2 linked regions of the Oreochromis niloticus genome follow. The protein of the gene in region 1 purifies or fractionates together with the protein of each later gene. This does not show direct contact. Links are inferred from orthologs where the notes say so. Each region holds a gene or a part of one and is shown on either strand. Other genes may lie near its edges.

Evidence for each region. Proteins that work in one complex are often made in the same cells at the same time.
Region 2: the proteins of topbp1 (region 1) and cdc45 purify together in Homo sapiens (affinity purification with western blotting; 3 studies listed by BioGRID and IntAct, with this or other methods). This does not show direct contact. The link is inferred for Oreochromis niloticus from reciprocal best matches to the Homo sapiens genes TOPBP1 and CDC45.

The regions. Positions count from the first base shown.
Region 1 is NC_031974.2:14,184,615-14,192,335, reverse strand, and holds the start of topbp1 (DNA topoisomerase 2-binding protein 1), read right to left. Parts: upstream 3,106-7,721; 5' UTR 2,673-3,105; intron 2,504-2,672; 5' UTR 2,497-2,503; coding exon 2,410-2,496; intron 2,322-2,409; coding exon 2,187-2,321; intron 2,101-2,186; coding exon 1,957-2,100; intron 1,869-1,956; coding exon 1,687-1,868; intron 1,553-1,686; coding exon 1,359-1,552; intron 1,277-1,358; coding exon 1,100-1,276; intron 1,006-1,099; coding exon 836-1,005; intron 701-835; coding exon 537-700; intron 1-536. Other genes in the region: dnajc13 (dnaJ homolog subfamily C member 13), read right to left, coding at 4,743-4,840, 5,709-5,808, 5,907-6,050, 6,135-6,275, 6,391-6,570, 6,660-6,833, 6,918-6,960, 7,058-7,227 and 2 more. UniProt on the Homo sapiens protein: Scaffold protein that acts as a key protein-protein adapter in DNA replication and DNA repair. Composed of multiple BRCT domains, which specifically recognize and bind phosphorylated proteins, bringing proteins together into functional combinations.
Region 2 is NC_031977.2:25,784,624-25,791,905, forward strand, and holds the start of cdc45 (cell division control protein 45 homolog), read left to right. Parts: upstream 1-4,191; 5' UTR 4,192-4,382; coding exon 4,383-4,433; intron 4,434-4,544; coding exon 4,545-4,604; intron 4,605-4,994; coding exon 4,995-5,087; intron 5,088-5,339; coding exon 5,340-5,477; intron 5,478-6,513; coding exon 6,514-6,660; intron 6,661-6,756; coding exon 6,757-6,815; intron 6,816-6,900; coding exon 6,901-6,949; intron 6,950-7,044; coding exon 7,045-7,106; intron 7,107-7,200; coding exon 7,201-7,251; intron 7,252-7,282. UniProt on the Homo sapiens protein: Required for initiation of chromosomal DNA replication. Core component of CDC45-MCM-GINS (CMG) helicase, the molecular machine that unwinds template DNA during replication, and around which the replisome is built.

The sequences.
Region 1 (7,721 bases):
TTTTTTTAATCCTCATTTTAAATGAGGCCAACAACAACTTACAAAAAGTCACATTACCTCTTTTTTCCAACATTCTGTGTTTAAGAGCTGAGACGACCAACTATTTTAAAGACAAATGTTTCAAATTCTTGTTTAATATAAGATTTTAGCTCTTCAATGGTTACTTTGACTTACTTTTTGTATTATAATGAGTCAGTGGGTGATGGACCCATTAGCATCTGGACTTTTTTTTACTATAAAGCTGCTGTTTTAATACATGCAGAAAGGATATTAAAGTGGGCAAAAAGCAGCCAGGATCCAGCTTTGACTCCTGGATCAAACCACGCAATTCTCCCTTGTTGCTGAATTCTGTTGAGAATTGGATAAACCTAGAATCTCCATTTCTCAGTGTGTAATAGCCTTTAGTGTAAATTATTATTATGCAGTCCAACCAAACATATTTTGGTATGAAGGGAAACATTAGAATCTCCAAGTTATTGTATTAATACAGAGGATATAAATATCATGAAGGTTATTAAAAGCTCTGTAGTTCAGACCTGTGAGTTGCTTTGGAAAGAAAATTATTGAGGTCCTGGTCCAGCTCGCCCATGACCACATGAGAGAGCTCCTCCCTGGGTTGGTTGAAGCGCAGACCTCCTGCAGCATTTACAAGACGCCGTAACTTCTCCAGTTTCTTCCCTGGCAGGCCACACAGATACAGCTGTGTGACATTTAACACAAAGTGACAGAAAGCCTTAAGTTTATCATTTATAGACTCAACTAAATTCAACTACAGAAATGAAAGGGGAAATACATAAAATCTATATAAAAAGAAAACTGCAGACCATCGACTTACCTTACAGCCATCCAATAAATCATCAGCAGGGCACACGGTAAGATCCAGACTCTCTATGGGGTCTGGAGCTTCCAGGTGGCTCACAGTGCTGTTATTGGTGAGAGCCGTGTCGTTTATTGTCCTGCTAGTGTTCACAGAAATGTTGCTCAAGCCCAACAGTGATGGACCCTCTGGAGATGAAAAACATAACTCTTTAATCATTAAAGAAAAACAGGTTCTGAATTATTGTGGTAAACCTTTCTCATCTTATCAAATGCGACTCACCGTCCTTCTTACTGGTACCAGTAGGTGTGGAAGTGTGTGGCCGAGTGGTTTTTGAAGCATTGCGCTCCACAGTGTACCTGCTTTCATCTTGACAGTAGCCCTTCTCTATGCTGTCAAAGAGCCAGTGCAAAGAAACGCAATACACATTCCACTTCCGAGCACACTCGTACTTCTGACCTACAACCAAGTACGATTGATAACAATCAATGACACACAAATGATGGCATTACATCACTTTTTTAAAATACTGGTGACTTACCTGTTGGTTCATTAACGATGAGGTGTGTACACTCATTCATTTTGAGCTGACCGGTGTAGTTGGCCCCATGCTGCTCACAAAGTCTTTGTACTTCTTTGCGCTCTGTGCTGGACAGACCTGTCACACAAACACTACAGCCACGCAGCACAGGGCAAAGGTAGTCCTCTAAGGGCAGGTCTGTATATCTGAAAAGACTGGAAAAGGAGTACAAAGACATCATTCATGTTTTTGTAAATGTACAGTGATTTAAAATGTGAATTTGTACCAAACAGGAAACACAAGTCTTCATGTATTTAATAGATGTAGCCATGTAAATCACAATACATACCTATCCTGTGATTTCTCCCAGCAGGCTTTGACCCACGTAGGCAACAGGATGGGTTTACTGAGGCTGGCTGCTACCAGGTATTTTTTGCTGCCCACCTCTTCTGCAATCAGGTGTGTAACAGATACGTTTAGATCCGAATAGGCCCGTCCACCCATGAGCTGCACCAGATCCATCAGCTCTTCCTGGAGTGTGAGAGAAAGTATGGACATAAACATGTCACAGTGCTTCATATTTCATTAAAATGTATATAGCAGACTCCGGATTTCTTACCCGTATTGCTCTGTCCATGCTGGTGCAGCAAATGGTGACATCAGCCATGGCCATGTTATAGACAGGTTTCTCTGCTTTGGGGACACAACGCTGTTGCTGCAGGCAGTACAACACCACCAGTGGACTCACTATTCTGCAACCAAGCTGCACAGGAAATCCAAAAAACAAGAGTCAATCTCTGATAGAGCCTCAGGAGTGACATTTCACTGTTTAAAAGTGTATAGTTCAACCTTCTTGCAGTGAAGAAAGGCTGGAGATGTAAAACTGGTGAACACAAACAGAGACTTGTCCTTCTTATCCATGCGCAAAACATCATCTTCTGTGATGGTTTTCAAATGTTTTTCAGACTGCAGCTCCAAAATGGCCTGAATAAACCGAAGACAAACATGATTACAAATTTGTAAAACAAAGAGACAGTAAACACTAAAAGAAAGACTGGGCAGTAGAGCTTACCTCATAAGCTTTGGCAGCACAGTCTTTTTTTGATCCTTCACTTTCCACAAACTTCACAATGAAGGCTTCTTTTTCTGCCTTAGACATGGTGACCCTGTACCAGTGACAAGACCTGGCATTTATTATAATGGCTGTGGCTGGCCTTAGCAGTAGCGTCTAAATTAAAAATGATCACCTACAAAGATTAAGGTATGACTAAGCACCGCCATAAATTCAACACTGGCCTGCTATTAGCTTAAAATAATAACTTACTAGTTACTTACCTTTAATAGAAGAGCTCAAGAGCGCCAGTAAAGACAGCCTGTGTATTCCGACGGGAATCAGTATAAACTCTGATTAGTCATAGGGAGCTAGTTTTACGTTAGTGCGGCTTGTCAGCGAGTTGAAGCTTGTGAAGGCTGCTGTCACTTTTTAGAAAGCCTACACTGACTTTGTTAGCTGCGCAACATAAACTTGCGAGCTAACGTTCAAACCTGCATGTAGCTCAGTTACAACATAAAAACATCCAAAAACTAGCACTGCTCATGTTATCTTAAACCAACAGTCCAACCAAAAGTCCCGAGATATGGGTTTAACTAACTGACATACATTTTAAAACAATTTAATCGTAACAGTTTAGAGATACAAATTGTGATCTTTGTTGATAGTGTTCGCGCCTTTGGCGCAACTTCCGGCGTTACCTGCTAATCTGACCGACTGGAGTGAACGTTTCAAAGGTTCCGCTACAGACACGAGAAAGTGAATCGGGGATGATAAACGATATATTAATGTGTTAAAAATTAGAAACTTGAAAACCTCACTGAAGGGACTTGTTTTGTTTCTTTTTTTAAATTTTGACATAAATATATTAAAACCGTTGTCATGTTTAGCACATTTTCCCTATTCATGTTGCCCTCAATAGCAGCTGTATTGAGTTTTTATGAATTTCCTTGACTTACCGTCAGGCTTGTGAGGTGAGACCTAGTCCCTAATTCATGGCATCTATGTAGCTGGTGTAATCCACTATAAATTCAATATCCACATCCGTGAAAAGTTATGGTTCTCAAATAGACTGACATAATATAAACGACATAACTTTATAAAACATTCGCGTTTATAACAAAGCACAACCATATTGCCCAAGGTCTCAAATATATGAAATTGATTCTTGTATAAAAACATTTTACTGCAAAAGTAATTGGATTGAGAAATATTTTGATATACGCCCCCCCTTCATCTCTCTCTCTCTCAATAAACAGACTTGACATCTATAAACATTGTGAACAGGAAAGACAAGTAGAACAACACTGTGGGTTCCCTTTTATTCTTAAAATTTTATGTACAAGTGTCGACTGATTTTTTTTTTCAATGTACATTCAATATAAAGTTTATATACGCAATATTACATTGAACATTTCACAAATTGCACTAGTCTTTCACATAGATTGGTAATCAGAGTCAATGTCATTCGTCATGTCAGCAGAAGCTCATTTCAGGTGGTTATTATTCACTCATAAATATTCTAGTGCTTTTTGCATTCTGGGGGAGAGTTACTTTAAAAAATATGAGGCAGAAAAGAGTAGCCTTCAAAGAGAGAGCAGAATGAAGTATGAATAAGATCAGAGGAAAAAGAGGCTGGATATTATGAGAGCTCTGTGTCATCTTTGACAGAAGAGGACTGAAGGTGACCTGATCAAAGCAGACCAGAGGTCAGCAGGTCTAAGGGGTTAAAGTGGCATTTTCTTTTGGAGAAACAGGCCAGAGAAATCATACACATCCTTCATGTCCCGTGATTTTTTTTTTCTTTTCCACATGAGAATGCGTTAATATAGACAGGTAAACAAAATGTTTATTTCAGTGGTGGATAGGTCCTGTGCACTTATTCGTCACAAATGAGGCCTCAAAGGAGATGTAAGGTTAAGGTAGCCAATCAGGATATGCCAAAGAGAAAAAAAAAATAACAAAAAAGAAGCCTCAGTCTTCCCATGGCTGTCTAATGAAAAAAAAAAAATCAAGAGTAAAAAATATATTCATACAAAAAGTAAAGTCTTCTCTGTCATTAGAAGAAATAAGAAAAGTAGAACAGAAACTAAACAAATGTGGTCATCCATTAAAACAAAGCATTTCTGAAGACTTGAGTGTCATTTGTAAGGGGCAAAGCAGAGTGACGCTGCAGGAGGTGTCGCAGAGGTTTTGGTGACAGTCAATGATGGCCCGCTCTCTCACTCTTCTTTTTTCTTTTGTTTTGTTTTCCTCTCAACATCCCCTCCATGTGGGGAGCTGAACAGTCCCTCTCTGAGCTGCGGCCGTGAAGCTGCACTCTGGGTGCCTGAGCCTTTCATTGTGCGTGTCCTTCAGCCTTGGTCTCCAGTGTCATTGTCCACAGGGGGTGGGACGTTGGGCATTACTGTGGTGCCCGTTCCTGCTGTAAGGTAACCTGCTACTCCTGGACCTACATATGACAGCAAGGCAGAAGAGACAGTTCAGATGTAAATTACAAGGATAGATGCAGGGCTAATGGGGAGCTAGAATGATGTACTACACACTAAGACATCAAGCATGGATGGGATGATCGCTACACTGGCTACAATGTTTTGCAGGGACTTTAATGTTTTCCATGGGCTTAATTTACTTACTATGTAAACGACTAATTGATAATTTTCTAGAAAATCTGATTTTTTTTAAAAACTATTTTCTATGTTTTTCCCTTGTAATTCTACATTTCAGCCTTTTTTTTAAAAAAAATCTGTATTTCTTTAAATGCTGGGTACATATTGCATACATAACACAAGCTGCCTGTGTTTTCAACACACTGTTGTGGATCCAGAATGGGTGTTAAGAGATAATGAATTATTTTCAGTGTGAGTAAAATGAAATGGGTGGGAATGGAGAATGGCATGTGCAGCCAGGATGGAGGTAAAGAGAAAAGGAATGACGGTAGGAGCCAGGACAGTCTACCTGCATCAGAGCAAAAGAGAGGAGGGCTGTGAGGGCCCAGTTCAGGAGTCTAGAGCCCACCTCGCAGTGGGCTGCTGGCGGCCAGGAGAGAAGGAGTGGAAACCCCTGAGGAGGAAATGTGGAGGAAAAAAGAGGAAGGGAAGAGCAGAGCCAGGAAGTTATAGGACAGCTGGGTTTAAGCACAAGTGAGGAGTCAGCCATAAGGTGTTTTGGCTTTTTAGGGTAAAGCAAAGCATTAAGATTCATCATCAGCTCAGAGAAAGATGCAGAAGACTTACCTTTTAAAGCACTTTATATTTTAACAGTTTAGCTTGTTATTCAGGTTAATCAGCACTTCTAATATGTAAAAAGGAAAACTTTACCTGTCAGGTAACCTGCAGTCTGAGAGTCTGAGATGAAAAGATCGTGTTTCTGGTCTTTGAAGGCACTCCATACTGAAGACTTTGCAAGAATTTCGTTCACCTGTGGGGAAAAAAAGCAATAAGCAAGAGTTTAAATATTTGATTGTTATATAAAAAAATCATACCAATCATTTGATGACTTCAATAATCCGATCATACCTGCTCTCCATACTGTAGACTACGAGTCATGGACTTCAGAGCTTTAACTATCTGGGCCTTAGTAGCTGAAGGGTTTTCTAACGTCTCCAGGCCGATTCCTTCCAGTAATTTCAAGAGGTATGGAACCAGCTCCACCCTCAGAGCCTGTTAAGTTGTTATAGAAAGTTCCATTAAGGACACATGAAACACAGTGAGGGATAATAACAGGTGACAAAGGTGACAGTGCACCTGGGCAACTAGGTCTGTCTGCTCCTTCTGGAACATGCGGTTGAGAGCTTCACAAGCCAATCCAGCCATGTCCGCCCGAACCTTCATCCCGGTCATCAGAGGGCCAATAGTCTCCAGAGAAGCCATGGACCGTACACACAGCTACACGAAACAAAGCATATTTTAGTTGATGTGGGTGAGGTGTCACTTGTACATAAAAAATTTAAACTGGCTGGTTCTGATTTTTTGTAGTCTTGCATTAAAATTAGTTTCTTACCTCATTATCTGATAGTACATGGATGAGGCGGATGGAGCTCTTAGGCACGGCATTGTTCTTGTGGTTGAGTGCCGCCAAGATCCGAGGCAGGTGGCCCAGAGGAGGGACCTGGTCGGCCAGCTGGCACTGTGTGCTGAACAGACAAACTGCCGCTGTGGTAACCGTCTCCAGGGCCTCACCCTGCAGAAGATAATAGAATAAGACAGAAAAAGTCTAACTTCTGCATTCACTAGAAATTTGTACAGTCGTTTCTCAGTTAGGAAGCTCACATTGGGATTGTTCTTCTCCAGGAGCTCAGTCAGGGTTTCCAGAAGTGACACCAGGAACTCTCGAGGCTTGCGTAGCACCCACCCAGGCTGAGCAATAAAGATGCGCAAGAAGACTCCACCAACTTCAAGCTCACCCTGTCCGGCTCCATAAGCCACTGTAAAGTCTTCTGGCAACTGAGCACACAGATTAGGAGTTTAGTTTGACATTCATAGTTCCTACAGATACACCAACTTATAATAATGAGTTCTCATACTTACTTTCCAGTTCACATCAGGATTATCTTTCTGCTGTTTAAAGTGCCTGGAAAAGATTTAAAGTGATTTAGTACAAGACATGAAACATCCTATTAGAGTGTCTAACTATTCTTTATCTGGTTAAAACAGTGTTTGTCACATACTCAAGCATCATCTCCCGGACAGTAGTAGACACTTTCTCCCTTGAGCTGTCATTCCAGATGAGCTCAGGGTTTTCGTGCGTTCCCTCAAATATGTGAACTGCTGCCTCAGCATTGTCCCGCATGGCATCCATGAATACACCAGGGAGGAAACGCATCAGTGTTAGACGCACCTAAAAGAGAAAGCAGAATATGAAACAGCAAAAGTGAGTTGACGATATGTCATGACGCATCATAAAGTAAAAGGGAGATGAGACTGATTAAGCCTTTCATTTATTTTTTTAACTCCAATCTGACCTTTGGCCCAACCAGCTTGTCTGAAGTCATCTTTGAGAAGAGCTCTGCAGTCTGTGTGCGAACCTGGGGGTGTGTGCAATTACAGAAGAGGTCCAGCAAATAGATCAGAGCACCTGCAGGACATAAAGATTAACAGAAACATCTGTGATTCAAAATTCAGATAAACGTAGCCAGCAATCAATAACAAACAAACAACAACAAAAACAAACAAACAGTAGAACACTGACCTTTGGCCATTGCCTCTTTGACGATCTTTGTGTTAGACGTGAGTGCATAGAGGGTTTCCAGCACCATCTGCCTGCCTGAAGGACACAAAGGAGTATTGAAGTGTGAAGATGCATTACAGGGATAGGGAGAAGAGGAAAGACAA
Region 2 (7,282 bases), on another chromosome or scaffold:
CTGAAAATTCTGCCGTGACAGTTATTCAGTGTCGAAATGTTTGCTGGGTACAGATGGGATATCTCATTATCATGATGCTGTTCTCCACGTGGCCCAGCTCTGCACACTCTGTGTATTGTGCCTATAGATCACATACTTTACTCACAACAGCTGAGCAGGTTATCTACACAGCCACTGTACAAATAGTCCACCACTCATCAGTCTCTGGCTCAGCTGCTGTGAAAGAGTTTTTCATGTGAGAATCACTTTGTGATTGTTTTATAAACTTGCAACTTTGTAAAGAAGTAGGGTTGAGGCTTAAAGGGAAGCTAACTGCACTCTGAGGTTCATTTCTGTGCATAGACGCCTCCTCTTGTGAGAAGAATCGAAACTCAATGCCTGAGAATTTTTCACCATCTGTTTCGGTCTTTGTGGTTTTGGAGCTGGCTCAGGCTTAAACAAACACTGGGAGCAAACATCAGTGTGTTAGGGGTCAAAGTCCTTGACTGTCCTGTCTGTTCACAGATCAAAATAGCACAAACACACCTAGTAAAACCTCAGAGAAGCATGTTATGACAAGATGACACAGACAGTAAGATGTGATTAAATGATCCAGTGTAATGGAACCTTTGAGCTTAGATGCTAGTGACCACCAGACCGTGTCTCTCTTGGGGTTTCTGGGTAAAACTGCATCTGTCGTGATGCCTGTTATAGCATATCACAACACTAAGATACTTTGTGGTAGAATTTTGTTGTTTTTGATAAGGAATTGGGTAAAGACACAGGATTGTCTTTGTTATACCTGCAAATTAAGAATGTGAAATTAACTTTATGCTGCCATAAAGTGCAGTGGCAGCAGCAGCCTTTCAGTTTAAACTAAGCCTGGCTTGATGTTGGCTGGTCCCATGATTAAATCATAGCTATCAAGAAGTTAAATATTACTTTGACTTTCCCATCTTTTCTGTGGTGTTTTGATGCTTTGATGATGTAAAACTTTGAAAAAAGTCACCACTTTATAGGTAAAACCTTCTTAAACTGCTGAGCACTGTTGTTAAAACAAAAGTGCAATTAATAGGGACTATTTTCAGCTGCGGATGAATAAACATATAACATTCCAGTAGTTTTTGGACAGCAGTGAAGCTCTGTGGCACAGAGGAAAACAGTATTTGTTTTGGTTTTGAACATATATTGGGTTTAGTGATTAAAAGTATATAACACCTCCAAGTGATTCTGTTAAATGAACTTTCATTAGTGCAAACAACTAAGCACTCCTCTTGCATTTAAAGCCAAGTTAACGTAAAACACATTGATCACGCTTATTTATTTTTACTTTATCGAATGCTTTAAAACTTTGTCTTCCTATAATATATGTTCAATGTTCCCATTTTTTGATTTTTTTTTAAATAACTTCTCTGTAAAAAGTTCTCCACAATATTAACATCCTGATGTAGCAGTGCTGCTTTACGCTTCTCACAGTTTTTCCAGTGCCTGCTTTGCTTTAAATGATAAAATCATCTCTGGTGTAACAGGACAGCTCAGCCAATCACGTTATTCCAAGTCACCATAACTGTAAAGCGAGTTAAACGAGTCTTCTCAGGCTTACTGTAGATGGGGTACTGTAGGTACTGTTTTAACCTCTCCAGGCGATGGTGCTACCCTCCCAGTGCTCCTGCTGGTCAGGTTTTTCTCTCCGGCATGTAAACTCCTCGATCGTAATCTCAGACATTTAACACTACAATTTGTGGTTCGGGCGTATTTTGAGTTTTTATTTATTTAATGTATTTTTTTTTTTTCTGTTTGTGTGTTGAACCGGCCAAAGTTTTGCACGGTTAACCCGAGCATAAAAGCAGCTGGATCTCAGTGGTTACAGACCAAACTTGGCATAAAGAAAGCGGATGAATTTTGTGCCTTTGTTTACTACGTTCCTCTCAGTTTATGAATGAAGTATATGCTGCATGTTATGGTGTATGCTCTCTGTCATGTAACTTTTTTTCCTTAATCTACCTTTTTTTTTGTTTGTTTTTGTTTCCAGTGTATTCACTTGTAAAGAAACTACACAGTGAATATGGCATGCTGCTTTTTTTTTTTTAACCTCAGAAAGAAACGTGTCATTTCCTTTTACTCAGTGGATTAATTGTTGGTGGACTCAAAAGTGAAGACGTGTGTGGATAATGTCAAATTTTTACAAAATGAGACAAGAGGAGAGAAATCGTATCTGAATTTCTTTGACAGATGTTTTGGGGTTGGTGTACAAGTATGTTTACTTTTGGGGGAATGCAGGATTTTACTTGAATTTTTAATATTTGTAACTTTAGAAGTGGTTAGGATGAAAATGGGAGCAAAGTTGTGGGTAAACTTTGAAGGTATGACTCACCCTGAAGTCGGACATACACATTTTTCCTCCAGCCTGTAGTGGTGTCTATAATCTTAAATAAAAGGAGCTAAATGTCCATAGTCAAAGAAAAAAATCTGAATTTTAAAATGTAATTTGGGGATCTCTAAGCTACAGAGTCAAGCACCATAAAGACAAAAAGATTTCTACAGCTGATTTCTACCAATCTGACCAACTCGTACTAGAATTGTCTTGATGAATAAACAAGGAAAAATCTGTAAGTTAGATTTTTGGGGTGAACTGTCCCTTTAAGGCAAAAAAAGTTCATTAGGCTGCTGCGTTTTCATAAAATCCTGCATGTTTCACACATATTTTTGTCATTGCTTCCATCCATTCTGTTAATTTATGTAATTTCAGGGCATTCAGAGTGATGTTGGGGGATTCTGCTGAGACTTTACTGTTTGCTTTGTTCATGCCATGATCGTACAGCTCATTCTGCTTATGCTTATGTGCTGTTTGTGTTGTGATGCTTTTAATGAATCTCCCCATGACACTGAATGATCTCTTGTCCTTTGTGTGTTTTCTTTGGAGTCAGCAGTCCTGGTTTTGAGTTTGTATGTGATGATGGATGATTAATAAATGAGTTTAAAACGCATGTGCATATCAAATTATGACACACCAGTATTTGTAGATGATGTATTGGGAGATAATGTCCTGGATATTGTATGTATTTACATATTGTGTGTGGTAATAATTCAGATTTTTAAACCTCTAATCAAAGCTGTCACGCGTGCCACCTCTCTTTTTGTAGTTTTTCACCTATTAAAATCAAACTGAAGCATGTAGTTCTGCTGGTTGCCAAAAATATAGAAACAAGTCTCCTCTTTGGAAATTATTTTACGGTATTTTAAGTAATGACTTCCCAGTGTAATGGACAGTTGGTGGGTGGATAGTTTAGCAGACGTTAGGGTGTGTAAATCAGATTCAGGTAGTGACACACAAAAAAACAATTGAACACACCTTTTTTTTTATATATATAATAGAATTCAGTTCGACTTGTTTTGTGAGTTTGCGGGAGAAGTTTTCTTTCAAGGCTTTTTGCCAGACAAGCTCATGAGATACATTTATATAATATTTAAGTGGAAAGAGGTGGGGCAAAATCCTTTCCAATATGTTTTAATCTAAATCAATGAAGTACTTCTTAAAATTTCAGTCTATAACAGCTTTTATCATTAAAGTGTAAAAATGTGTGATGACTGCCACTTCTATAGCTATGCCAATGACAACATCTTTAATAGTACATATTTGTAAAGTGTGTGTCACTACTGAGCTCCAGATTTACATTAATAAATTTATGCTCGGTTAAGTGAACCTCTCATATAAATCCACATTTTTTTCTGTTATTGTAACCACACAGTGGAAACTCTACAATTTTGTGAATGTGTGAAGTGTGTGCATAAGTCATTGTTTTAGAATTTTTACAGACTTAAAACAGTATGGTACAGAGATCATAGTTAACTCTGTGAGGTTTTTGCTTTTTTATTAAATTGTTTAATCTATATCTTTCTCCAAAATATAGAAGTAGAGAGAGGTTACCATCTATAATTATTTATAATATTATAAATTCACTCTTGAGGTAATATAAATGTAAACGCTAATGTTAAAATAATATTGTGTTCTTAATAAAGTCTAAAGGAGTTTACACATATTATAAAAACATCGTTATGACATCGTTTTAAATAAATTAATAAATATTTCAAATCAATATAAATAAAGCTATAACTTTATTTCAGCTCTTTTTAGTCCCAGCACTGCTCTGTTTTCTCAACCTGGTAGGCGTGACTTCCGGCGTTTGACGTTGCTGATTTTCTTTTCTTTCTGATTGGTCGGGAGTGACGTGTAGATTTGGCGCCACATTTCCAACAGGGAACAGAGCGGCATCGCTGTGTGTGTATTGTCAAAGCTCCGAGCCTGACAGCAAACCAAAATAACCCGCAGTTTATGCCACCTCAGGGTGATTAGATTAGGCTCGTCTTATTTCAATAGTTTTAATCGACTGACTTCTCTGAAAATGTTCATCGCGGACATAAGAAAAGATTTTTATGAAGTTGTCGCCAACCAGGTAAGGCTAACTCTTAACATTAGCCAACATTGCCTAGCAGCTAGGAAACTTAACATCTGACATCGCAAACTGAAATCGCTTACATTATAAACCTTCTCGTGCTACTTACAGAGAGTCGTACTCCTGGTGGCACCAGACATTGACGCTCTCTGCGCCTGTAAAATACTGCAGGTAAGACAATAAAATGTTAGCAAGCGGCAGCTCCTGTAGCCTTTGCGTGCACAGTCTTTGATTGTTTTTCCCTGTTATTTTGCCTCTCTTGTTCTAGTGGCTTTTATGCATGATGACGGATATTTGCGCTCTTAAACTAAGGTCATTGTAGAGGGTAAACAGAGAGCACGCTGATTAAATACTTCTAGTTATTATGGACTTATGGACACCCAACCGTACTGTCGTAATGGGGAGGTTACCATCTGTTCATGTGTTAACTGGGAATATTTAAAAGTACTGACAGTAGGTTTCAGTAAGTGCCTGTTGCAGTTTATGGAGCTTTTTTGACTTTTACTGTGTTCAGAGTAATTATAAGCTGATGTAAACACTGACTGCTTGTGTCTTCACTAGGCCTTGTTTCACTGTGACCAGATCCAGTATACACTTGTGCCAGTTACAGGCTGGCAGGACCTTGGCACTGCCTTCCTTGAACACAAAGAGCAGGTATACTTAAATAAGACCAGAAGGCTGTGCTGCAAAGCGAGATTGACGTTAACACGTTATTTTAAGCCAGTATGAAGGTGTCTCTCTTTTAGCTTTTTGAGATCACCATGGAAACGTTTGCTTTTTTTATGTGTTTCTGCTTGAGAACCTGAAGAGGAAAGCTTTGTAGTACACTACTCTGAGCCTGTATATAAATATATGACAGTAAACACTGAACCTTGTGTATTGTGTTGGCTGATTTTTGTGCTGCAGTTTCGATACTTTGTTCTCATCAACTGCGGAGCAAATGTTGACCTCCTTGAGATGCTGCAGCCAGATGATGACTCCATCTTCTTCATCTGTGACACTCACCGGCCTGTAGATGTGGTCAATGTCTACAATGATACCCAGGTGATGTGCAATGGTTTGCTAAATCAGGCTACATCCCCACTAATAAGTTCACATAAGTTCACGGGCTAGGGTCTACCCCACAGAGCCTCAGAGTGGCACAGGGATTCACTCAAGGCATGAGAAGAGAAGGATCAGATGGTGTCAGGGCTGTAGGACTCAGCTCAGTGGCAGAAGTTTGATGAGGATGTGGATGCAGTGTTCGACCCTACAGCTAAAGGGGACGTAAAAAGTTTTCGAACCATGATGGCCATCATAGTGAGCATGGTAGTGGAGACGTTTGGAGTGCAAGATGAAAGAAAGGCCAAGTTGATGTATTATTTTAAAGCAGAAGGGGGAAAAAACAATTCTGTATATGTGAATTAAAACCCCCCCCAAAAAAACATGCTTCTCACCTCATCAGTCTCATCAGTTTGTCTCAGGAGCCAAATAACAACACACACATTTCCTCCAATTCTGTTTGGCGATGTGTATAGTCTGTCCACTGGTATGTGTGTGTTTAACAATATTAACCACTAGTTTGCCTGTAGAGCCAGGCTCTTCAGAAGGTGTTTGTGACCATTGCTTAGTCCACAGGAGAATAGCCAAGGTAAAGAAATGTAAAACCTTTACAAGCATCAAAGTCCAAAACTTTAGAAATAGTTGTTGTTAAAATAAGTCCAAAATACATAAATCAACCATTTTTACTCCACATTCTCTCCAGCATCTCGGTAAAGTGCCCAGCTAGTTAAGTATAAGATTTTTCTTAATTTCTGTGACTGATAATGTCCAGCGGGCAAAGTTAGCGTAGGGGCCTTTAAATATGTAGATAAAGTCTCCTTTTTGCCCATCAGGACTACAGATGGAAGCACCCTTGTGTTATTGTGCTGTACTGTATTTGCATTCTGGTACAAAACCTCAAATAGTTCATTATCTTTATGCATTTCACTGTAAACAATGATCCATTTGCACCTGAAGTTCATTGCATGTAAGATTAACAATACTCCCACTTGTTTGTGGAAGTGAGCGTTACATTAACTCTCTGTCTTCTGCTCAACAGATTAAGCTGCTCATCAAACAGGATGACGACCTCGGCGTGCCGTCGTATGACGATATCTTTCGAGATGAAGATGAGGAAGGAGAAGACTCTGGAAATGAGAGCGATGAAGGCTCAGAGCCGTCTGGGAAACGCAGGAGATTTGATGAGGTACGCATTAAACCGAGTAGGTGCTGCCCGCTGGAATGAACTGGTAGAGTGAACTGTTAAGGCTGTTACACTGGGGCTGTGGTCCTGTGTTTGCAGGGGGCTGTCGAAAGGAGAATTGAAAGGCAGCGAGCGAAGAGGGAGTGGGAGGCTCGAAGGTGAAGTGTTTTTACTTAGTTGTTTGGTTCTTTCTCTGCACAGCACAACTGTTGAATGCAAGCTTACCTTTCATTAATTTCACAGGAGGGAAATCCTGTTTGACTATGAGCAGTATGAATATCACGGCACCTCGGTGAGTTTTGACAACCTCACATGAGTAATATAGGAACATTAATGTTACCTGAAATTCTGAATGAACTCCTGAATTTTCATTTGTTTTCCTGTCAGGCTGCGATGATGTTTTTTGAGCTTGCGTGGGTTTTGACTAAAGATACCAAGGACATGCTGTGGTGAGCTTTCTGAGGAGATGTCATCTTTCATGGCAAACATTCTTGAGATACAGTTTATACGGTCTGTTAGATGTGCACTGCTTCTTCTTTGCAGGTGGGCCATCATTGGGCTGACAGACCAGTGGGTTCATGATAAAATCACAAAGTAAGGATGCCCTCAGTTTTTCAAAACTATT